Macaca mulatta: one gene and its partners. The protein of the gene in region 3 binds, or shares a complex with, the protein of the main gene of each other region. Links are inferred from orthologs where the notes say so. Each region holds a gene or a part of one and is shown on either strand. Other genes may lie near its edges.

Region 1 (4,983 bases), on a different chromosome or scaffold from region 3:
AAAGTGCTGGGATTACAGGCGTGAGCCACTGTGTCTGGCCCACACCCATCTAATTTTTGTATTTTTAGTAGAGATGGGTTTTCTCCATGTTGGTCAGGCTGGTCTCAAACTCCTGACCTCAAGTGATCCTCCTGCCTTGGCCTCCCAAAGTGCTGGGATTATAGGCGTGAGTCACCTTGCCTGGCCAGGTTAAGGTTTTAAATGTTCATTGCATCACAGCCATAGCTAAATCTAGTTTTCCTGTAAGTATGCCCTACACATCTGATAGTCAGGTTTTCTCAGCAACCATTGAGGGTGAGAGGGGGTGGGCTCAGGGGCAGAAAACTGGAGCCTCCACACAGTCCTAGATGATCATGTGGAATCTGGAACATGCTTTCCACTATTTTGAGTTTTTTCTTCTAGGCTGGCTGTGGTGGCTCACACCTGTAATCCCAGCACTTTGGGAGGCCAAAGTGAGAGAGGACTGCTTGAGCCTAGGAGTTCAAAACCAGCCTGGCAACATAGTGGGACCCTGTCTCTACAAACAGACAGACAACAACAACAGAAGAGCTGGAAAATAGCTGGGTGTGGTGGCAGGCACCTGTGGTCTCAGCTACTCAGGAGGCTGAGACAGGAGGGTCACTTAGGCCTGGGAGGTCGAGGCTTCAGTGAACCGAGATCGTGCCACTGCATTCCAGCCCAGGCAACAGACTGAGACCTATCTCAGAAAAATAGAAAATAGTTTTAAAACAAACACATAGTTAATCGTAAGAACAAAATAGTATTTTCAGCAGATACTATCTATTCTGAAACAACTACAAAACAATATTTCTAGAAATATAGTAGAAAATGTGTAAAGGCATGCATGGGGATGATATATACACACTAGCTTCAAGATAATTTCCTCTGGAGAGGGAAAGGAAAGATGCTTGAGTAATATCTATTTTAAAAACAGAGAAGTGAGGCAAATGTGGGGAAATGTCAATATCTGTTAAACTGGGGGAAGGTACAGGGCTGTGCTATATTACTTTTTTGGATGTGTGAAACCTTTTTTTTTTTTTTTTTTTTTTTTTTGAGACGGAGTCTTGCTCTGTTGCCCAGGCTGGAGTGCAGTGGCGCGATCTCCGCTCACTGCTAGCTCCGCCGCCTCCCGGGTTTATGCCATTCTCCTGCCTCAGCCTCCCTAGAAGCTGGGACTACAGACGCCCACCACCACGCCCGGCTAATTTTTTTGTATTTTTAGTAGAGACAGGGTTTCACCGTGTTCGCCAGGATGGTCTCGATCTCCTGACCTCGTGATCCGCCCGCCTCGGCCTCCCAAAGTGCTGGGATTACAGGCGTGAGCCACCATGCCCGGCGAAACCTTTCATTATTCAAATTTTTAATTAAAATTACGAACACTGGGAAAAAATTCATTGATACTGGTTGTCTTAGGATACTGGAAATAAAGGAAAATTGTCTAACTTGCTACATGTTCTATAAGACCACCTCCGACGTTTTGTTTAAAACATGATACACTTGCTTGAATGATTTAAAAATGGTAACCATCCGGAGAGTCAGAAGATAACAGCATGGGGCAGAAGAGAGAAAACCGACACATTCAACAAGCCTGCCCTGGGTCCAATCTACCTATCTCTGGGAGGTAACGATGAAACCTTAACCTATCCAGCAAAGGCGATTCCCAGTCAGCAGAGTCGTCAATTCAAACTCACAGTGTTAATCAGCTATAAGGTGGGCAGAAGTCTTTCAGGCTAAGTATATCTTACGAGGCAAAGATGACGAAGGAGAGCGTTGGAGACCCAACAGGAGGCCAGATGAATACTAGTTCAAAGTCAAAGAGGCAATCCCGGCGACTGAGGCAGCACAGGAAGTGCCCGATGTGCCGCTAGGCCAGGGCGTCGATTGCACCAGCTCACCCCGACGCGGTGCTAGGCGCCGCCGGAAGGGGCGGAGCGGGTGGAATATGGTAAAAGAGAGTCCGAGCTTCGCGCCTGGGTCTGGAGGAGGTCCTGCGAAAGCCACCTCGAGCGCGCTCCGCGGCTGCTGGTCCCAGTATGGTCGATGACGCTGGTGCTGCTGAGTCCCAGCGGGGCAAACAGACCCCGGCCGACTCCCTGGAGCAGCTGCGTATGTTACCACTTCCGCCGCCGCAGATTCGCATCCGGCCTTGGTGGTTTCCGGTGCAGGAACTGGGAGACCCTTTGGTGTTCTACCTGGAGGCATGGCTGGCAGACGAGCTCTTTGGTGAGCGACCCCAGGTGTGCTAGTGGGCTGTCCACCTCCAGTCTGAGAGAAACTCGGCAGGGCAGCTCTCTACGGCTTCTTTCCCAGATTCGCAAGCCAAAAGTGTTGCAGTGATTGCCCACCTTCCAGCTCTTCCCTTCCCTGGCCAACGTTCCCTTAAAATTCAGCTTGTAACTTGCCACCGTGCGGCCCCTCAGAGTCTTTCCTTACTTGTTTAGGCCCGGACCGAGCCATGATTCCAGAAATGGAATGGACGAGCCAGGCCCTGATGACAGTGGACATAGTGGACTCTGGGAACCTAGTCGAAATCACCGTTTTTGGACGGCCCAGTGTACAGAATCGGGTGAAGAGCATGCTCCTGTGCCTGGCATCGTTTCACCGAGAACATCGTGCCCGAGGTGAGGGTCTTTGAGAACCTGCATGTGGAGGAAGCCACGAGTGACTGTACTGGCCTTGCTCGGTTTCCTTCCATCCTCCCTTAACCTTCTCAGAATTTCTTGGTTTCCAGACTCCAGGGGCTGCACGAAGTTTGTTGGGAGGGGATCCCGGGGTAGGACCTTGGGAAAGTCAGCGGAGATCTGATACATTCAGGCCCATCACTGCCCAAGTCAGCCTCAGCTGGGTTACGACGCTATCGCAGATCCCAGATTCGGAGCCTCCACCGCAGGTCTTTCTCTCCTCCCCAACTCCCAATCACGGAGTAGTTCGAAACAGCGAACCGTTTTCCCTGTCCATGGTTAGCATCAACTGCTTCTCTTCCAGCTGAGAAGATGAAACACCTTGAGAAGAACTTGAAGGCCCATGCATCAGACCCCCACTCTCCCCAGGATCCTGTTGCTTAAGACAACATAGTTACTGTCGGGAACATCTTAAGAACTTTCCAACTTTTTCTGCTAAAGTTGAAGAGAAGCAAGTATAGCATTCCTAAATCCCTGCATTCCTTTTTCCTGTGTCTTGATGGAATGTGGTTTATTTTGTTGCAAGAGTGAGCTTGAACTATTCTAATAAAGAAATGGCTATTTTGCCAATGGCATTAAGATCTTCACACACTTATAATAAAGCAAATTTATAAAAGATTGACTCTTATGTTTTGATATGAAGGGTGGGCAGAAGGCTGGCAGGTTGTAGTTTTGTAGGTTTTTGTTTTTGTTTTTTTGTTTTTGTTTTGTTTTTTTGTTTTGTTTTTTTCTTCCTGAATTCCCATCATTTTGAAACTCCTAATCCTTCTATGATTTTATGGTCAGAATGAGGCCCTCACCCACAGGGGGCAGATATGCAGGGGCAGATAACCTCACAAATGGTGATCTGTTTTGTTTTTACATAATTGGCTCTCAAACTTTAAAGCTTGTAAAAAATCACCTTGGGAGCTTGTTAAAACACAATTTCCTAGGCTCATTCTCCAGAGAATTCTGATTCAGTACTGTTGGGGTGGGGCTTGTAATTTGCATTTCTGATGAGCTCACAGGTACTACCAAAGCAGCTTATCTGAGGCTCTCACTTTGCAGCTGGTAATTGACCCTCCAAAGAGCACCAGCTGTGCGTTTTCCTGGAGTCGGGTGTCCGTCTGGCACAGGATGACATTCCAACAAGCAGGCCTGGGCGGTCAGCATTCATTAATGGTAGCTTTGCGATTCACCAGGGAAGAAAAGGGATCCCTGGCACCTTGGCTTGTGGATGGCGCCCTGCCTTGGAGCCGGCTGTCTCCCTTTTTCTGCAAGGCGAGGCTGCACAGGTGTCCAGCATGGGCAAGATTGTTTTTCCATTACGTGTTGTACTGAGATTACCAATCTCTGCAAAACAGCTTCTATCCTTGCTGCCCCACTTTCTGGAAGTAGAATTTTTGGGGTGAAAGGTGTCAAAAGCCCTGTGGCTTCAAGCACAATTAGGATTGGTTTGAGACTCATGGAATTTATGCATTCCTTGGCAATAAAGTGTTCTAGCCTTTTGCAAGCGTTTTAAACTCAAGTCTCTTTAATTGTACATTTTTTATTAGAGGTGATGTTGAATGTTTTCTTTGTTTCAGTTTTACATTTTTCTGTATTAATTCCTTTCTTGACTTCTTTCAACTGGTGAAGATAAGGATTTTTATTTATCTCTATAAGCTTTTGTAACAATGGTCTGTTATTACCAGCATTTTCCACCCTCTTACATTTTTTCTTTGCATGTGAAAGATTTTTATTTTATGTAGTTAAATCAATTACTGTTTCCTATGTGTTCTCCCATATCCCCACCCTCTTAAGTTTAAGAGCTCCTAATTTTCTCCCATAGAAATTTGATTAATTCTTTCAAGTTTTTCCTGGTGTGATTTTTAATGTATGTTTGTTTATTTATTTATTTAGAGATGGAGTCTTGCTCTGTCATCCAGGCTGGAGTGCAGTGGTGTGATCTCAGCTCACTACAACCTCTGCCTCCCTGATTTAAGCAATTCTTCTGGCTCAGCCTCCCAAGTAGCTGGGATTACTGGCATGTGCCACCACACCTAGCTAATTTTCGTATTTTTAGTAGAGACGGGGTTTCACCATGTTGGCAAGGGTAGTCTCAAACTCCTGACCTCAGGTGATTCTCCCACCTTGGCCTCCGAAAGTGCTGGGATTAGAGGCATGAGCCACTGCACCTGGCCCTGGTGGGGTTTTTATTTTTATTTATTTATTTTTATTGTATTTTATTTTACTTTTTGAGATGGAGTCTCACATTGTCGCCCAGGCTGGAGTGCAGTGTCACAATCTCGGCTCACTGCAACCTCCATCTCCCAGGTTCAAG
Region 2 (4,697 bases), on a different chromosome or scaffold from region 3:
GAATACAGGCTCATTGCAACCTCTGCCTCCCACGTTCAAGCGATTCTCATGCCTCAGCTTTAGGAGTAGCTGGGATTACTGGCGCCAGTCAGCACGCCTGGCTAATTTTTGTATTTTTAGTAGAGACAGGATTTCGCCATGTTGGCCAGGCTGCTCTAGAACAGCTGGCGTGAGCCACCGCATCCGGCTTTGCCCAGTTTTTAATGGGGTTGTTTTTTCTTGTTGTTTTGCAAAGTACTTTAATTGTCTCAATTAGCAAGTAAGAATTTCCCAACTACTAAATCATTCCTATATATTAAATATATTCGACCGCCTGGGCGCGGCCTGAATATATACATTTGGTCTATTAATGTGGCAAACCTGAAGTTCTCTTTAGTGTTTCAATACTGAATAAAAATAAATTATAAATTATTATTTATCTTATAGCAACACAGTTAAAAGTTATTATTTTCACACTTTTTTTTTTGTTTTGTTTTAGTAGAGGTGGAGTTTCACCGTGTTAGCCAGGATGGTCTCGATCTCCTGACCTCATGATCCACCCGCCTCAGCCTCCCAAGGTGCTAGGATTACAGGCGTGAGCCGCCGCACCTGGCTCAGTTATTATTATTTTTTGAGACAGGGTCTCACTCTGTCACCCCGCGGGGAGTGCAGAGGCACCATCACTGCTTACTGTAGCCTCAGCCTCTCTGGGATCAGGTGATTGTCCCACCTCAGCCTTCCCAGTAGCTGGGACTACAGGGGTGTGCAACTTCGCCCAGCTAATTTTTGTATTTTTTTTGTAGCGATAGGGTTTTATCATTTTGCCCAGGCCAGAAGGATTGCTTGAGACCAGCTTGGGCAACATAATGAACCCTTGTCAGAAAGGGAAGGGGAAAAGAAAGGAAAGGAAAAGGGAAAGGAGAAAGGAAAGGAAGGATGAGACAAATATAATTGTGTTATTTAGAGAACAGAGGCATCACTGGGCATGGTGTCAGAGGCTTGTAGTCCCTGCTACTGGGGCAGCTGAAGAGGGAGGATCTCTTGAGCCCAGGAGTTGGAGGCTGCAGTGAGCTATAATCACACTACTGCCCTCTAGCCTGGGTGACAGAGATCCTGTCTCCAATTTAAAAAATTAAAAATAAAAAAGAACAGAGATGTCAAAAATTTTCAAGGAATCTCCTCTGGTGTCCAAACCACGAGAACCATCTGTGGTTAGGTGTGTTCATTGCTGCATTAATTAAAAGCGCTTTATAGTCCCACCACTGGGGAGGCTAAAGAGGGAGGATTTTTTTCAGCCCTGGAGTTCGAAGCCAACCTGGGCAACATAGCCAGACCCCATAACTTTTTTTCTATCCCCCCCTTTTTTTTTACTACGCAAATCTCACTACACAGACCCTATAGCAAAACAAAACAAAACAAAAAGGCGGGCGCTTATTCTGCTCTGTACTCAGCTGTCTCAGGCAAGTGACAGAATAATCTGAAAACCTGGTGCCAGAGGGAGAAAACGTAGTGGCCAGGGATCAGAAGCGAGTGAGGGACGTATGAAGTATTCATTCTGCAAGTATCAGTTCCTTCCTCTGGGAGAGATACTGGGCTTGTCCACGCCTTCCTGAGTCCATGGTTAAGACTCCCGCTGGGCACCAGCGGATTCCTGGTGCCCAGAGCCCGGTTCCTCCTCCCGGGTGCGCTGGGGAAAGGGCTGCTCCTGACAGAAGAGACACTGAGAGCAACGCAGGAACCGGTGCACTTGCGCTGCCTCGGAAAAAGCCGGGGCTCCTGGAGGCGGAGGCGAGGCCTGGGACCCAATGAGAAGGGCGCGGTTGGAGAGGAGGGGCTGGCCAAAAGCACTTTAAATAAGGCCCAGGCGAAACCGCAGTTCTAGTCGCCTAGCTCCAGCTTGGCCTTTGGGTTTGCTGTGGTGGTCTTGTCTCCTGCAGGACCGGGCGCAGCATGGACACTCCCAGGCGGTTTCCGACGCTCGTGCAACTGATGCAGCCAAAAGCAATGCCAGTCGAGGTGCTTGGTCACCTTCCTAAGCGGTTCTCCTGGTTCCACTCTGAGTTCCTGAAGAATCCGAAGGTAGTTCGCCTTGAGGTTTGGCTGGTGGAAAAGATCTTCGGTGAGTGGAGCAAGGAGGGGCAGCCCCTATGCGGCTTCTTTCTGCCGCCCACACCCACATCCCACTGCGTTCCAGGGCAAGCCTCCCCAGTAGCCAATGCCCTCTGGCTGTCTCCTCCTTCCACTTTCCCCTCCCAAGACCCCCGGGAGCCACCCAACCCTCACAGCCTCTCTACTACCCGCGCAGGCAGGGACCGAGAACGCATCCCGCACGTCCAGGGTATGTCCCAAATCTTGATTCATGTGAATCGGTTGGACCCTAACGGCGAGGCTGAGATCTTGGTATTTGGGAGGCCTTCTTACCAGGAGGACACAATCAAGATGATCATGAACTTGGCTGACTATCACCGACAGCTCCAGGCGAAAGGTACGGGGCTGGGAATGGGGCTACCTGGAGCAAACCCTGGCTCCGTAGGAGTGATCCTGGGGTTTCCTGGCTGCTGGGGCTGCAGTCTCGCCCTCCCAGTCTGCCCCCGGTTAGTGGGTGGGAGACGGGGCGGTTGCCATGGATCCAGAAGGCCAAAGTGAACCCGCGTTCTGGGATTCCTGGTTCCTACTCCCGCAGGCCGCTTGGGTGACTGTCCTTTTTTGGAGAGGATATAGGGACACAGCTGTGGCCTCCGCACACTGCTCTTCTTTCAGGCTCAGGAAAGGCCCTCGCCCAGGATGTCGCCACTAAGAAGGCCGAGATCCAGCTGTCTTCAACAGAAGTCCGGGAGGCCGGGACCCAGCGTTCGGTGGAGGTCCGGGAGGTCGGGACACAGGGTTCTCCGGTGGAGGTGCGGGAGACCGGGACCCAGCAGTCTCTCGAGGCTGCCAACCAGTCCGGGACCCAGCGATCCCCCGAAGCTGCCAGCAAGGCAGTGACCCAGCGGTTTCGCGAGGATACCCGGGCCCCAGTTACCAGATTATGAAGGCATCTCGGGCCCTGGAGCCAGAGCCAGTCAGGGGTTAAAGTGAAAGCCCGTACTTCGCCCAGAAGCTGCGGTTGGGAGGAGGATGATGTGGATTTTTTGTTTTACCCCTTCTGTTGAATGGTTGCAAACACAAACGAGTTCTAATAAAAAATTGCAAACTAGAAGCCGCCCCCTACTTCAGCCCCTGAAGCTGGGGTAAGGGTGGATGATGTGGATTGGTTTTTTTTACCCCTTCTGTTGAATGGCTGCAAACACAAACTTGAGTTCTAATAAATAATTGCAAAGTGGAAGCCCCCCGCTACTTTAGTCCAGGAAGCCGGGGTGGCGGGGGAGGTTGACGTGGATTGTTTTTGTTTTACACCTTCTGTTGAGTGGTTGTCAACACAAACTTGAGTTCTGATAAACAATTGCATTTCCCTGACGTCTGTATTTTGGAAGGTAGAGGGGAGGGAAAGGCGTATTCCTCCAACAGCCCAGTTCTGCCCTGCGCCGCTCTTTACCTCGAGACAGGTGGGGCTTCTGGCTCCCAGCCGCCCGGGGTCGCAATCTTCCCTGGCTGTGGTCCGCTGTGCCCCTTGTACTCCTTAACTGCGCGCATCTGGCTTTAACAGGTGAGAAGCTTCTCTGGCCCACTAGGAAACCTCTCCAAGCCCGCTGTGGTTCTACTCAAGGTGACTTGGGATGAGAAAACCGGGTCGCTTGCGGGCCAGCTGGATTTGGAAGGCCCTGCGTGTATGGCGACGCTGCCACAGAACACTTTCCCCGCTGGGGAAAATTACCTCGGGGAAGGGGGAAACGAAGAGAGCCGAGCTGCACTCTCCGGCTGCACTGTTGCCGTCTTCAGGTCTTGCTTGGGTCACCCACCTTCCAGGAAGGTCTTGGACACCAGCAAGATACAGGCACCGGCTACTCTTTCCTCAGTTACTGCGGCAGCGAGGAGCCTGAGCAGAGAACACTTTGGCTTCCCGGGTCACAGCTCTGGTCAGGGCACTGGGATGCAGGTCCCTGAGCCTGCGAATTAATCTAGAAGAATGCAAGCCAACAGCTGGGTGCTAGGATTAAACAATAGCATGCAGTAATTCTGTAATTAGGATTTAATTAGGATTTTTTTTTTTAACCAAGAATCACTGATAATTTTCATTTTATTTTGGAGATGGAGTCTCGCTCTGTCCCCCAGGCTGGAGTGCAGTGGCCCCATCTCACCTCAACACAACCTCTGCCTCCCGGTTTCAAACAATTCTCCTGCCTCAGCCTCCCCAGTTGCTGGGACTACAGGCCCGCGCCACCACGCCCAGCTAATTTTTGCGTTTTGGGTACAGAAGGGGCTTCACCATGTTGGCCAGACTGGTCTGACCTCAGGTTATCCGCCCGCCGCCTGGGCCTCCCAAAGTGCTGGGATTACAGGTGTGAGCCACCACGCCCAGCCAATCACTAGTAATTTTTAAAAGTTCAAAGCTAACTTTAAATATCAGGGGAATGTCTATCACAAACTTTTTGTCACCACTAATTATCACTCGAGTTTAAAATAATCATGTACCTTACAATAAGGGAATTACAACATAAAGCTGAATTTACAAAAACTTATTAGCAACTTTTAACTGGTAATCATTTTATTAAAATAGTTGACTAATTTTAGAAGAACTTTAGAACATTTTAAATTCAAAATCAACACAAAATCAGTTT
Region 3 (5,896 bases):
CTCGCCCTGTATTTAAAAAAAAAAAGAAAGAAAGGGAGATATAAGAAAGGGAAGGCCGGGCGCGGTGGCTCAAGCCTGTAATCCCAGCACTTTGGGAGGCCGAGACGGGCGGATCACAAGGTCAGGAGATCGAGACCATCCTGGCTAACACGGCGAAACCCCGTCTCTACTAAAAACACAAAAAATTAGCCGGGCAAGGTGGCGGCGCCTGTGGTCCCAGCTACTCGGGAGGCTGAGGCAGGAGAATGGCGGGAACCCGGGAGGTGGAGCTTGCAGTGAGCTGAGATCCGGCCACTGCACTCCAGCCTGGGCGACAGAGCGAGACTCCGTCTCAAAAAAAAAAAAAAAAAAAAGAAAGGGAAGGGAGGGTTAGGTGGTCTCTTCGATGAGATGATTCCTTCCTTCCTTCCTCCCTTCCTCCCTTCCTTCTTTTTTTTTGAAACAGAGTTTCACTCTTGTGGCCCAGGCTGGAGTGCAATGGCACGATCCTGGCTCACTGTAACCTCTACCTCCCGGTTCAAGCGATTCTCCTGCGTCAGCATCCCAAGTAGCTGGGATTACAGGCGTCTGCCACCACACCCAGCTGATTTTTGTATTTTTAATAGAGACAGGGTTTTGCCATGTTGGCCAGGTTGGTCACGAACTCTTTTTTTTCTTTTGGGGCAGAGTACTGTGTCGCCCAGGCTGGAGTGCAATGGCGCCATCTCGGCTCACTGCAACCTTCGCCTCCCAGGTTCAAGTAGCTGGGATTACAGGTGTGCGTCACCATGCCCAGCTCATTTTTGTATTTTTAGTAGAGACAGGGTTTCAGCATGTTGGCCAGGCTGGTCTGGAACTCCTGACCTCAAGTGATCCTCCCGCCTCAGCCTCTAAAAGTGCTGGGATTACAGGCGTGAGCCACCACGCCTGGCCTGATGTGATTTTTTTTTTTTTTTCCTGAGATAGACTCTTGCTCTGTCACCCTGGCTGGAGTGCAGTGGCACGATCTCAACTCACTGCAACGTCTGTCTCCCAGATTCAAGTGATTCTTCTGCCTCAGCCTCCTGAGTAGCTGGGACTACAGGTGCCTACCACCATACCCGGCTAATTTTTGTATTTTAGTAGATATAGGGTTTCACCATGTTGGCCAAGCTGGTCTCGAACTCTGGACCTCAGGTGATCCACCCACCTCTGCCTCCCAAAGTGATGGGATTACAGGCATGCACCACTGCGCCCGGCCCAATGTGGTGATTTCTAAGTAGGGATCTGAGGGAGTAAGGAGCCAGCCAGTGGCTGTCTGAGGGAGACTGTCCCTGGCAGAGCGAACCGCTAATGCCAGTACCAGGTTCTGGGCCAAACAGAAAGAATCTTGGGCTCTCACTACATATATATATTTTATATATATAATATATATACTTTATATATATTATATATACTTTATATGTTATACTTTATATGTTATATATGCTTTATATATGTATAACATATATTTATATATTATATATACTTTATATATGTATAACATATACTTTATATATAATATATATTTTATATATGTATTGTATATGTAATATGTATGTTGGGGTTTTTTTTTGAGATGGGGTCTTGCTCTGTTGCTCAGACTGGAGTGTGGGCTTACGCAATCCTCCTGCCTCAGCCTCCGCAGTAGCTGAGACTACAGGTGCATGACCACCACACTTGGCTAATTTTAAAATTTTTTTGTAGAGACGGGGTGTCACTGTATTGCCCAGAGTGGTCTCCAACTCCTGGCCTCAAGCAATCCTCCCACCTCAGCCTTCGAAAGTGCTGGGATCACAGGTGTGAGCCATGGTGCTTTGCCTTCATATTTTGAATAGGCCGAAACAGAACTCCAGAATCCCCTTACCCCTATCCCCACCACCCCACATAGCAGGTTTCTCTCGCTCTGTAGCAACCCACTTACCTCTCTGAAATCATCCCAGGCGTGTTCGGAGTGCACGCAGCCCCGTTAGCCTCCCGGTCTTCTCCTGTAACCAGCCCAGCTCTGCCTGAGAGCTTCCACTATTCCCTCCATCTGGAATACCCACCACTCTCTCCCACCCCGGGCTTGGATCTGGCAGTACTGTACCAGCCTCAGGGCCTCTGCTGTCGGGCTTTCTGCTCTCAGAGCCTTTGTCACTGGGCTGGGAGCTCCAATATGATAAATGCATAGCCCGGGGCTAGGACCATCAAGGGAACCCAGTAAGTTGGCTCCCGAAAGAGAACTAGAAGCTTCGTTTGCATTGCACGTTATTTAATATTGAGGAAAATATAATTAGCCCGTATATAAGCATTGGGGTGAGAGCGCTAAAGATTGACCCCACCCACCTCCCACTCCTCACTTCCAGCCGTAAGCCACTTCCGGACAAGGCTAAAAATGAGTAAAACAATGCAACTACTCGCCACCTATCCTTCCCCAAGTTCCACCCTCCGAGCCTCAAGCCCCACGCCCTCCTAAATATCCCCGCCCCCGCTGGGACCCCAAATTGCCTAGAGCTCTGCAATTCCGCCCTTCCCGGCAGCGGGACCGAAAGGGTTAAGCGGAGGCTCCCGGCTCGCTGAGTGACAGCTTGGCCGGCAGCCGGGGAGAGCCGGCCAATCAGGGAGGGCGTACGCGACCCACGTGCGCAAACGGCCTCACGATTGGCCAGCGCCGCCAGATGCCTGCCCACCCCGAGCCCGAACCCACGTGCAGCTACTGCGCCTTCATTGATCCGCTTCGCGGTCCAGGTGGCGGCTGGGTGGGGCCTGGGCGGGACGGGGCAGGGACAGGGCGGGACAAGGCGGGGCCCGATGGGTCAAATGGCCCCCGGTGGGGGAAGGAGGAGTTTCCTCTTGGCCTGAACTTGGCTGACCTCGGCAGCTTCCGCCCTGTGAGGGACGTGAGTTGCCAGGCGTTTTCCTGGGGGTTGGGGGGACTCCAAGATTCCCGGGCCGGGGAAGGGGCTGCAGGGGTGTGGAAGGGCAGGACTGAGGCAAGGAAGGAGCTTGGTGCTGCAGCTGGGATGCAGGTGGAGGGAGGTCGTTTCTTCTGTCCGATGAATTCCGCCTAATGCACCTGGCTAACTCCTATTCATCCTTCAAAACCCCTTTCTAGTGATATCCCTGCACTTTAGGAAATTGTCTGAAAACTAAGGTTGAGCTTTGGTGACCTTCCCTGGGCTCCCCCAGCAGGGAGTGTATGTGCACCATCCACCCCAACCTCCTAGGGTGAGGCCTGGGAGGCAGGGTTCAGTTCTTTCTGGGTCCCCGGCCCCACGAATCTGGGCAGCTGGAGGCATTGATAAGTGAGGACGGGACCTAGGGAACGCATGGGGGAACCGCAGGACTGGGGCCCTGGAGACTTACCAAACCGGGAGGTGCAGGTGGGGTAAGGGGTGGCTCCCTCCCTGACACTGCCTTATTTTCTGTCCTTCAAGACCTGCTGTCTCCTTGTTTTAGACTTTGGCTAAAGTCCTGGAGGCTACTGCCTGAAGATGACCTCTAGGGACCAGCCTAGCCCCAAGGGCCCCCCGAAAGGCACTTCGGTGAGGAGGGCATGGGGTGGGATCAGCCCTCAAGGGAAACCTAGGTCAGCCCAATGAGGTTCTGCCCCTTTCTCATCCTGTATCCACCTATGACCTGGGCTGGCCTCATCCAGGCCTCACAGCTGAAGACAATACCGGTCACTGCTACATTCAAGACAGGTGCCAAGGAGCCGTTTTTTTTTTTTTTTTTTAAATTAAGTGTAGGCTGGACACAGTGGCTCACAACTGTGATCTCAACATTTTGGGAGGCCGAGGTAGGAGGATCATTTGAGCCCAGGAGTTTGAGACCAGCCTGGACAACGTAATGAGACCCCCATCTCTACAAAAAAAAATTAAAAGAATCAGCTGGGCCTAGTGACATGGGCCTGCCTGTAGTTGTAGCTACCCAGGAGCCTGAGGCAGAGGCTTTGCTTGAGCCCAAGGAGTTTGAGGCATTGCACTTCAGCCTTGGTGACAAAGTGAGATCCCATCCTTAAAAAAAATGTAGCTTCTAATCACATACGTGATAAAAAACACAGGAACACAGCACGTATTTGGTTAATATTTTACAAGCAATCCGGGCTCCCTGTACTTTATGTCCCAGAGATGACCATTTGTAAATTTAGGCTCTCAGGGCTGAGCAAACTCTCTTTTTTGTAAAGGGGTCAGATGAGGAATATTTTGTTTTGAGACTTTATGACTTTATTGTTTTTGAGACGGAGTCTCACACTGTCACCTCGGCTGGAGTGCAGTGGCGCAATCTCGGCTCACCGCAACCTCCGCCTCCCGGGTTCAAGTGATTTTCCTGCCTCACCTCCCGAGTCGCTGGGACTACAGGCACCTGCCACCATGACCACCAATTTTTTTTTTTGTATTTTTAGTAGAGATGGGGTTTCACCATGTTGGCCAGTCTGGTCTTGAGCTCCTGACCTCGTGATCTGCCCGCCTCAGCCTCCCAAAGTGCTGGGATTACAGGCGTGAGCCACTGCACCTGGCCAAGAGACTTTATTTTATTGAGTCTTGCTCTTGTCGCCCAGGCTGGAGTGCAGTGGCACGATCTTGGCTCACTGCAACCTCCACCTCCCAGGTTCAAATGATTCTCCTGCCTCAACCTCCCGAGTAGCTGGGATTACAGGTGTGTGCCACCATGCCCGGCTAATTTTTGTATTTTTAGTAGAGACAGGGTTTTGCTGAGTTGCCTCGACTTGTCTCAAACTCCTGACCTCAGGTGATCTGCTCACCTCGGCCTCCCAAAGTGCTGGGATTACAGGCGTGAACCACCTTGCCTGGCCTTTTATTTTTAAAAATATTTTGTGCTTCTATTTTCATCACAAGAATGTGGTGAATATTTTAGACTTTAGGCCAAAGTGCAAAATGGAAGATGCTCTTTTAGGTACTGAAATAAGAGGACGGGCGCAGTGGTTCATGCCTGTAATTCTAGCACTTTGGGAGGCCGAGGCGGGTGGATCACGAGGTCAGGAGGTTGAGATCAGCCTGGCCAAGATGGTGAAACCCCAGCTCTACTAAAAATATAAAAATTAGCCAGGCATGGTGGGAGGCGTCTGTAATCCCAGCTACTAGGAAGGCTGAGGCAGGCAATCACTTGAACCTGGGAGGCAGATGTTGCAGTGAGCTGAGATTGTGCCCCTGCACTCTAGCCTAGGTGACAGCAAGACTTGTTTCAAAAACAAAAACCACAATTACTTTTGCATCAACCTAATACCTATACTCTGGTTGAGATGGAGACCTGGGGTCTTGAGTGTTTGGGGCATTGTAAGTTTTTTTTTTTGTTTTTTTGTTTTGAGATAGTCTCGCTCTGTCACCCAGGCTGGAGTGCAGTGGCGCAATCTGGGCTCACTGCAAGCTCCGCCTCCCGGTTTCACGCCATTCTCCTGCCTCAGCCTCCCGAGAAGCTGGGACTACAGGCACCCGCCACCTCGCCCGGCTAGTTTTTTGTATTTTTTTTTTTTTAGTAGAGACAGGGTTTCACCGTGTTAGCCAGGATGGTCTCAATCTCCTGACCTCGTGATCCGCCCGTCTCAGCCTCCCAAAGTGCTGGGATTACAGGCGTGAGCCACCCGTGCCCGGCCAGGGCATTGTAAGTTTTATGTAACCTTGCTTTGACCTTTCCAGCCCCGTCCTGGGATCTCGAACTCTGAGAGCTCTCCACCACTGAATTATCAAGGCATTCTAAATCGGCTCAAGCAATTCCCCAGGTGAGAGCAATTCCAGGGGCTGGCAGTCCCACGCTGGGAAGGGGTCCCACCTGGCCTCTCTCCTTGGGGTCCTAGTGAGTGGTCTAGAAACTGCTGGCCCAAGAGACAGGCTCAGGAACAGGAAGCCATGTCGATACCCAGCATGGAGAACCCAGCAATACCCATCCCAGCTTTTGT
Region 4 (6,067 bases), on a different chromosome or scaffold from region 3:
AGGCAGAGGTTGCAGTGAGCCGAGATTGCTCCACTACACTCCAGCCTGGGCTACAGAGCGAGACTTCATCTCAAAAAAAAAAAAAAAAAAAAAAAAGAAAGAGAGTACTAGCAACCCTTATAATCAAATCCTTTCTCTCCAGTGCTCAGAAAATGAAAGTTTTCTGCTGTCTTTAGAACCTTGTCTGCTAACAGCTCTGATATGTTAACATGGCTTTATGGTTTGCAGAGGTCACTTCTTGGCTTCTTGGTTTCCAGGCCCCTAACCTTGAAGGAGACGCAGCCCGAGGGCTTGACCATAATGTCAAAGAACACGATGAGATTGACCATGGCCAGCAGTAGAGTACTCCTGGCGGCAGCAGCGTCTGCAAAGCTCACTTTTTTTTTTTTTAATATGGATTTTCGCTGTTGTTGCCCAGGCTGGAGTGCAATGGCACCATCTCAGCTCACTGCAACCCCCGTCTCCCAGGTTCAAGCGATTCTCCTGCCTCAGCCTCCCCAGTAGCTGGGATTACAGGCGCTCAGCTAATTTTTGTATTTTTAGTAGAGATGGGGTTTCGCCACATTAGCCAGGCTGGTCTTGAACTCCCGACCTCAGATGATCCACCCGCTTCGGCCTCCCAAAGTGTTGGGATTACAGGTGTGAGTCACCAAGACCAGCCAAAGCTCATTTCCTTTTTTTTTTTTTTTTTTTGAGATGGAGTCTCGCTCTGTCACCCATGCTGGAGTGCAGTGGCACGATCTCAGCTCACTGCAACCTCAAAGCTCACGTCTTATTGACTTCTAGCATACTGTACATATCTTGCCTATTTTCTTGGGAAGGGATTTTTTTCTGTTTTGTTCACTACTGTACCTTGTGGCTTAGAATAGGGCTTGGAACACAGTAGCTTCTCACAGATAATTGTTGAATACATAAAGTAAATAAAATGTGTAGTCAAAACTATGGGGCCTGCAGGCATGGTGGCTCACATCTGTAATCCCAGCACTTTGGGAGGCCGAGGCGTGAGGATCGCTCGAGCCCAGGAGTTCGAGACTAGCATGGGCAACAAAGCTAGACCCTCGTCTCTACAAAAAACAAAACAAAGCAAAAAAACCTAGTCTATCTTTAAGCTACGTGGAATAATATGAACGAGAATATATCAGCGTGACCTCAGTAGGTACGTATGCCTAGGAGGGGAGAGAAGGGCTGGACAACTAAGCCCCAGACACAGCCCGTTAAGGCGTGGAGTAGGCTCCTGGTAGCTGAACTGAATCTTTAGCACTCCACCCTGGAGAGGAAGAAGGGGTTCTCCAGGGTCAGCCAGCAGGCAGCTGCATCCTTTCTGGAAACCAACCAGTGTGGCCAGCCGGTATTTGTCGTTCGTCCTTGTTTTCACCTAGTCAGGCCCAAGAGCCTCAAGGTGGGGTGGGGGGTTAGTGGAAGCTCGTAGGGGGAGGAGGTGACAGTCCCCCGAGTCTGGCCCCTTAATTCAGCCATCCCGCGGGCAGGCACCACACTGAGAGTCTGGATCTACAAAGGACGCGCCTCCTATCCTTCCCCCACCACGACCTGCTACGTGATCTCGGAAACAGGGTCTAGGACTGAGGCCCCTGCCCCCTCCTCTCGTAATTTCCCGGAGAATATGGGGCGGGGCGGTGAATCAGCACTCGCAGGGACTGATGCAGCCCTGATCCCCGCCAGGGGTCCCCAGCGGCCTCGGGATTCGAACCACCCCCCCAGTCCTCCTGCGCCTGCGCGCTACCTCCGCTGGGAGTTGTAGTCTTGACCGCCCCTTTGTCCTCGGTCTTCTCAACGCCTCGGCCCACGGCAGGTTACACTACAACTCCCAAGGGCCCATGCGTCGGAGGCCTGGCGGGGCGGGGGGCTGAAGGGAGAGGGATAAGGGGGCGTCTGGAGAAGCTGGGGTGAGGGAACTGAGGAGTGAAGTGAATAAAGAGGAGAGTGGGGGCGCAGTGGGAAAGGACGTGGTGCCCGGAAGACGCGCAGTGAGCCGAGTTGGGGAGCGGGGAGCTCTAGCCGCGGCCGGGCCCGGGCGGGGCCTGGGCGGGGCTTGCGGACGAGCGGGCGGGGCCTGCCTGCGTCATGCGGCGTGGGCGGGGCCGCAGGGGGTTGTCCGTCCGTGGCACGCACAGCAGCCGCAGCCGCCTCGCTCCCGGTCCCGCGGTCGCAGCTCCAGCCGCCTCCTCCGCGCAGCCGCCGCCTCAGCCGCTCGCTCCGTGGGTCGGTCCTCTCCGGCACTTGGGCTCCAATCGCGCCCTCCAAGCCCTTCACGCCACCCCAGTGTCCTCCTCCTTCTCCGGCCAGACCCAGCTCCGCGAAGATGGTGGACCGCGAGCAACTGGTGCAGAAAGCCCGGCTGGCCGAGCAGGCGGAGCGCTACGACGACATGGCCGCGGCCATGAAGAACGTGAGTGTCTCCTCCCCTCCCCCGCCGCTCCCTGCCCCTCCGAAGACGCGGTCCTTGGCGTGGAAGGCCCGGGGCTTCGTCGCCCTGTCGCGATGGTGGGGTGACCGCCCCGTCTCGCTCACTGAGGGGGGCCGGGGAGGGTCCCCAGAGCCGACGGGAACACGGGCTGTGACGCGGCCTCTCCTCGGCGTCCCCGGGGCCCCGCGGCGCGGCCTCTCTGGCCCGGCGCGGGCGCGGGGCGGGGCGGGGTCCTGCGGGGCTGGACTTGGGAGCGGGGTCTCCGGTCCCAGCGGCTCTAGGGGTACAGGGGATCCGAGCGGGGAGGCGTGCGCATCCTTTGTGCCCCACTTCCCCCCTCCTCCCAGCCCGGGCGTGGGGGCGGGGGACCGCATGGATGCGGTTCCTCTTTCTCTCCCTGGTGTCTGGGCGGCGCCTTTCCCATTCACTCAGCAGGTCTCCCGGTTTTCCACCTCCCCAGCCCCCCCAAAATCTTCCCCACTGTCTGTCCCGACAGATCCCTGTGAATCTTCCCAGAAACATTGTATAGGGTCTCTTGAAAACCTGAGCTCCGTGGCGCAAAATCGAAACCACCTTGCTCACGTTTTTCTTAACAAAAGGCTCTTCTTTCTCCATTCCCCCAAAGCAAGTCCTCCGGCTTTTAGGAAGGGGGAACGTTTGTCTCGCTAGCGTTTTCGTTGATCGTTTTCAACATGTCATCTCCATTTTATTCCCTAATGTTTTTGTATTGAAAAGGGTAGGTATTGCCTGTAAAATAAAAGGTGGTGAATGTAGCTGACTGGTTCGATCCGTGTGACATATGCCGTTTCTTTTTTGAATACAGGCACGCGTCTGTGAAATTCCTATAAGTTGGGGGAAAAAATATTCTGTCTGATCTGATAGTGCAAACAAAGCGGTGGTGAGAGGCAGTATCAAGTCATTCCAGAAGATTCTGCATTTGTCATATTGCAGAGAGCCTAGACTGGGTGGAGGCTGGGAGGAGTTATTTTAAAGGGGAAAAAGTCTTTTTAAAAATTTTTGGTCGTTAGATGCATCTGAGGCTTTTTTTTTTTTTTTTTTTTTTTTTTAAAGCGAGTACGTCTTCATGCTGATGAAAAGAGAATACTGATCTCCAGTTGTCGCATTTTGTCTGGGTTGCAGATTCCTCCCTGTATTGCACCATTTTGTCAGTAACACTACATTTATCTAATGGGCTGTCAACCAGTTTGATATTAGAGGAGGGGGAAGTATTGAACATTATGAAATGAAAGGTAGAAAATTAATGATTTCGGGCCCCCACTATCTTAATATTTAATTTCCTGCCTTATGTAACAAAGGTTTTTCAAATGCATCTCCATTGTAAAGTGGATGCTGGAGTGTACCTTGCATGTTACATCTTTTAAATGAAGCATTATTGATATTACAGATCAATTCTTGAATAACTTTACTGGTTCTCAAAAGAGGACAATGCTGATACCTTTACATTTAAACCAGGTATTTTAACAAAGAAATGTTTTTGTCTTATTAAAGAAGAGAACCGGTTCTGAAATTCGGAATACTGCTATGGCCACAGCTGCTGTCTTACAAGGTTTTAATGCTCAAATGATGTAAGTTGCACTTCTAATGGGTATCAGTATTGGAAATATCTTCAGTTCGTGTTATTTAATTTAGACTCTTCTAATTTTTCCGTATTTCTAGTTCCACAGGAAAGCGAGTGACCTCGCACCTATATCTATAGCAACCAAGTGATGTCACACACAATGACACAGAGGCTGCAATGCACCTAAGGGCTGGTAGGGAGTGTGCAAATGGCATTTATCCAAGGTAATGCAGAAATTAGCCGATAAGCCAGGTGGAATCGAGCACTTCATATTCCACCAGATAAGAATTAGTCCAAAAAATAAGGATTTCATTTACCCTTAAACATGCAGATCCCTGACCTCTAGCTAGGCCTTGTTCACCCTATTGCTAGCTTTCTCACAAAAGTTTATAAGATGCTTTTTTTATATTTTTAAACATTCATCTCACTTATTTAAAATACTGGGCAATAATGGAATAAAAGTAGAAATTTTAAACGATAATATATTTTATGGAATGAAAGTAGAAATTTTAAACAAGAATATAGTTTACGATAATAGTGCAGAGATGAGATGTGTACTTGTGTTTATTTCAGATAATGAATTTGGCAGGTTTTAATAAAAACCTTAAAAAAATGATGACTTTCTACTGAGTCATTTTCAGTTACTGTTAGGGAATGAGAACCAGTTCCAAAACCTTTTAAATCGAGGTTTGGGAAGTTTGTTTTTTACTAGATTTGTGCTTCTGCTCCTTCACAGTATAGAGGAAAGAACAGTTTGTAAAATAAAAACCTTTTTTCAACTCTGTTTCCTGTGACTTTAAGGAAATAGGCCCTGTCCCTCATTTTCCTCATCTATAAAATGGGACAGTACTTGAAAAAGTTGTGCGGATTCAATAAGAAATGTAGTAGGTGTTCCCAAATGGCAACTACCTAAGAAATTGTCTTCCTGTTTATAAAAGTCATCATGGAGAATTTGGAAACTGCAGAGAAAGAACCCAGTCTTACCACTCAAGTGAGCTCTCTTTTAAGGCCGAAATCATCCTGTTGATGGATTAAAATTTATTTGAGTTTAATGAAATTATCCTAGTGCTAACACTATTGGAATCTGTGCAGAATGATAGTTCTGTGTGGGCAACCAGGACAGAAATACTGTATTATCCAGTATTTTGAAAAGAAGGAAAGAGGAATGTTAGGTCTTTTAAGACACTTGTTTAGTCTTGTATTGAAGGAGATTGAATACCTAGATGTATCCTATGTATTAGACAATATTGTCTTGTCCTTTGACTTTTAATAGTCTCTTGAGAAGTTAATATTTTAAGTAGGCTACTGGTACTTGCCTCGGGGGGAGAAAAGGTTCAGGGCTACTAATTTTGTTGAAGTTACTGGGTTAAGCAGTTTAATTCAGTGAGGGGTGGTGGGGGCAAAGGTGGCAAAAGGCTATCATAATTTTTCTAAATCTTCCTAGTGGGATCAGTAGACTTTCAAATTCTTACTATCTTAAATATTCCATTCCCTAGCCACCCCCCCCGCCCAGCTTTTCCAGGAGATCAATAGCCATTATCACTAATGGAGTAATGGTACCTCTGTAGACTCTTCAGAGGTGGAGTTCTGCCAACCATTATTCTGAGTCATGTGGCTTGAATTGTTCTCTTCTTGAGGGAAAGAATACAGATCATACAGCTTGCTATTCATGTGTTAGCCTTCACAGTAACTGAAGCAGATATTACGTATTTTTCCGATTATTTTGGAAATCTCCTATGTGTCTTTTGAATTCTACTGAGATTCAACATGGTGCTAAATGTTCATCCTCATTGCAGTCCTGGATTAACTGCAGACCTTGGGTAGGAGTTCATCTCTTATATTCAGGGAAGCCTTATTTATTAAGCCACTCTCTGAATTATTGAAAAGAGTGAAGAAAACGTTGTGTTTTTATTGAGGTAGAAGTTGCATAACATAACTTTAACATAGTCACATCACATTTCAAATGTGCCGTTGAGTGGCATTGGGTACATTCAGTGTTTTGCAGCCATCACCTATGTTCAAGAAAGGAGAAAGTGGTTACTTTTAAAAAGTGATGCCGCTCT

The links.
Region 1: the proteins of TLE6 (region 3) and OOEP are in contact, whole or in part, in a cryo-EM structure (PDB 8H94), measured with the Mus musculus proteins. The link is inferred for Macaca mulatta from reciprocal best matches to the Homo sapiens genes TLE6 and OOEP. Residues at the interface, in NP_444484.1 of Mus musculus: Trp256, Ser258, Phe304, Thr305, Arg306, His307, Val318, Asn320, Val322, Asn323, Glu332, Ser333, Asn354, Ser355, Arg356, Leu373, Ala374, Ala375, Pro376, Ser377, Leu378; in NP_080756.1 of Mus musculus: Arg32, Pro33, Trp34, Trp35, Pro37, Gln39, Glu40, Glu67, Trp70, Met71, Gln73, Gln94, Pro95.
Region 2: TLE6 (region 3) and KHDC3L share a complex: the UniProt entries of both Homo sapiens proteins name them as parts of the subcortical maternal complex. The link is inferred for Macaca mulatta from reciprocal best matches to the Homo sapiens genes TLE6 and KHDC3L.
Region 4: the proteins of TLE6 (region 3) and YWHAG are in contact, whole or in part, in a cryo-EM structure (PDB 8XI3), measured with the Mus musculus proteins. The link is inferred for Macaca mulatta from reciprocal best matches to the Homo sapiens genes TLE6 and YWHAG. Residues at the interface, in NP_444484.1 of Mus musculus: Phe137, Leu138, Ser139, Glu140, Ser141, Asp142, Leu144, Gln145, Leu295, Arg347, Asn430, Leu447, Gln470, Met472, Asn489, Asp510, Asn511, Thr512, Met530, Pro553, Arg555; in NP_061359.2 of Mus musculus: Lys50, Arg57, Arg61, Lys125, Asp129, Arg132, Tyr133, Gly174, Leu177, Asn178, Val181, Glu185, Phe201, Asp202, Ile205, Ala206, Leu208, Asp209, Glu213, Tyr216, Lys217, Thr220, Leu221, Ile222, Met223, Gln224, Leu225, Arg227, Asp228, Asn229.

The regions. Positions count from the first base shown.
Region 1 is NC_133409.1:112,309,481-112,314,463, forward strand, and holds OOEP (oocyte-expressed protein homolog), read left to right. Parts: upstream 1-1,902; 5' UTR 1,903-2,033; coding exon 2,034-2,223; intron 2,224-2,441; coding exon 2,442-2,621; intron 2,622-2,985; coding exon 2,986-3,065; 3' UTR 3,066-3,297; downstream 3,298-4,983. UniProt on the Homo sapiens protein: Component of the subcortical maternal complex (SCMC), a multiprotein complex that plays a key role in early embryonic development.
Region 2 is NC_133409.1:112,315,212-112,319,908, reverse strand, and holds KHDC3L (KH domain-containing protein 3), read left to right. Parts: upstream 1-1,929; coding exon 1,930-2,098; intron 2,099-2,284; coding exon 2,285-2,464; intron 2,465-2,739; coding exon 2,740-3,011; downstream 3,012-4,697. UniProt on the Homo sapiens protein: Component of the subcortical maternal complex (SCMC), a multiprotein complex that plays a key role in early embryonic development.
Region 3 is NC_133424.1:3,767,994-3,773,889, forward strand, and holds the start of TLE6 (transducin-like enhancer protein 6), read left to right. Parts: upstream 1-2,342; 5' UTR 2,343-2,727; exon of another isoform or gene 2,728-2,879; intron 2,880-3,416; exon of another isoform or gene 3,417-3,438; 5' UTR 3,439-3,473; coding exon 3,474-3,524; intron 3,525-5,636; coding exon 5,637-5,719; intron 5,720-5,896. UniProt on the Homo sapiens protein: Component of the subcortical maternal complex (SCMC), a multiprotein complex that plays a key role in early embryonic development.
Region 4 is NC_133408.1:49,993,961-50,000,027, forward strand, and holds the start of YWHAG (14-3-3 protein gamma), read left to right. Parts: upstream 1-2,081; 5' UTR 2,082-2,320; coding exon 2,321-2,407; exon of another isoform or gene 2,408-5,305; intron 5,306-6,067. UniProt on the Homo sapiens protein: Adapter protein implicated in the regulation of a large spectrum of both general and specialized signaling pathways. Binds to a large number of partners, usually by recognition of a phosphoserine or phosphothreonine motif.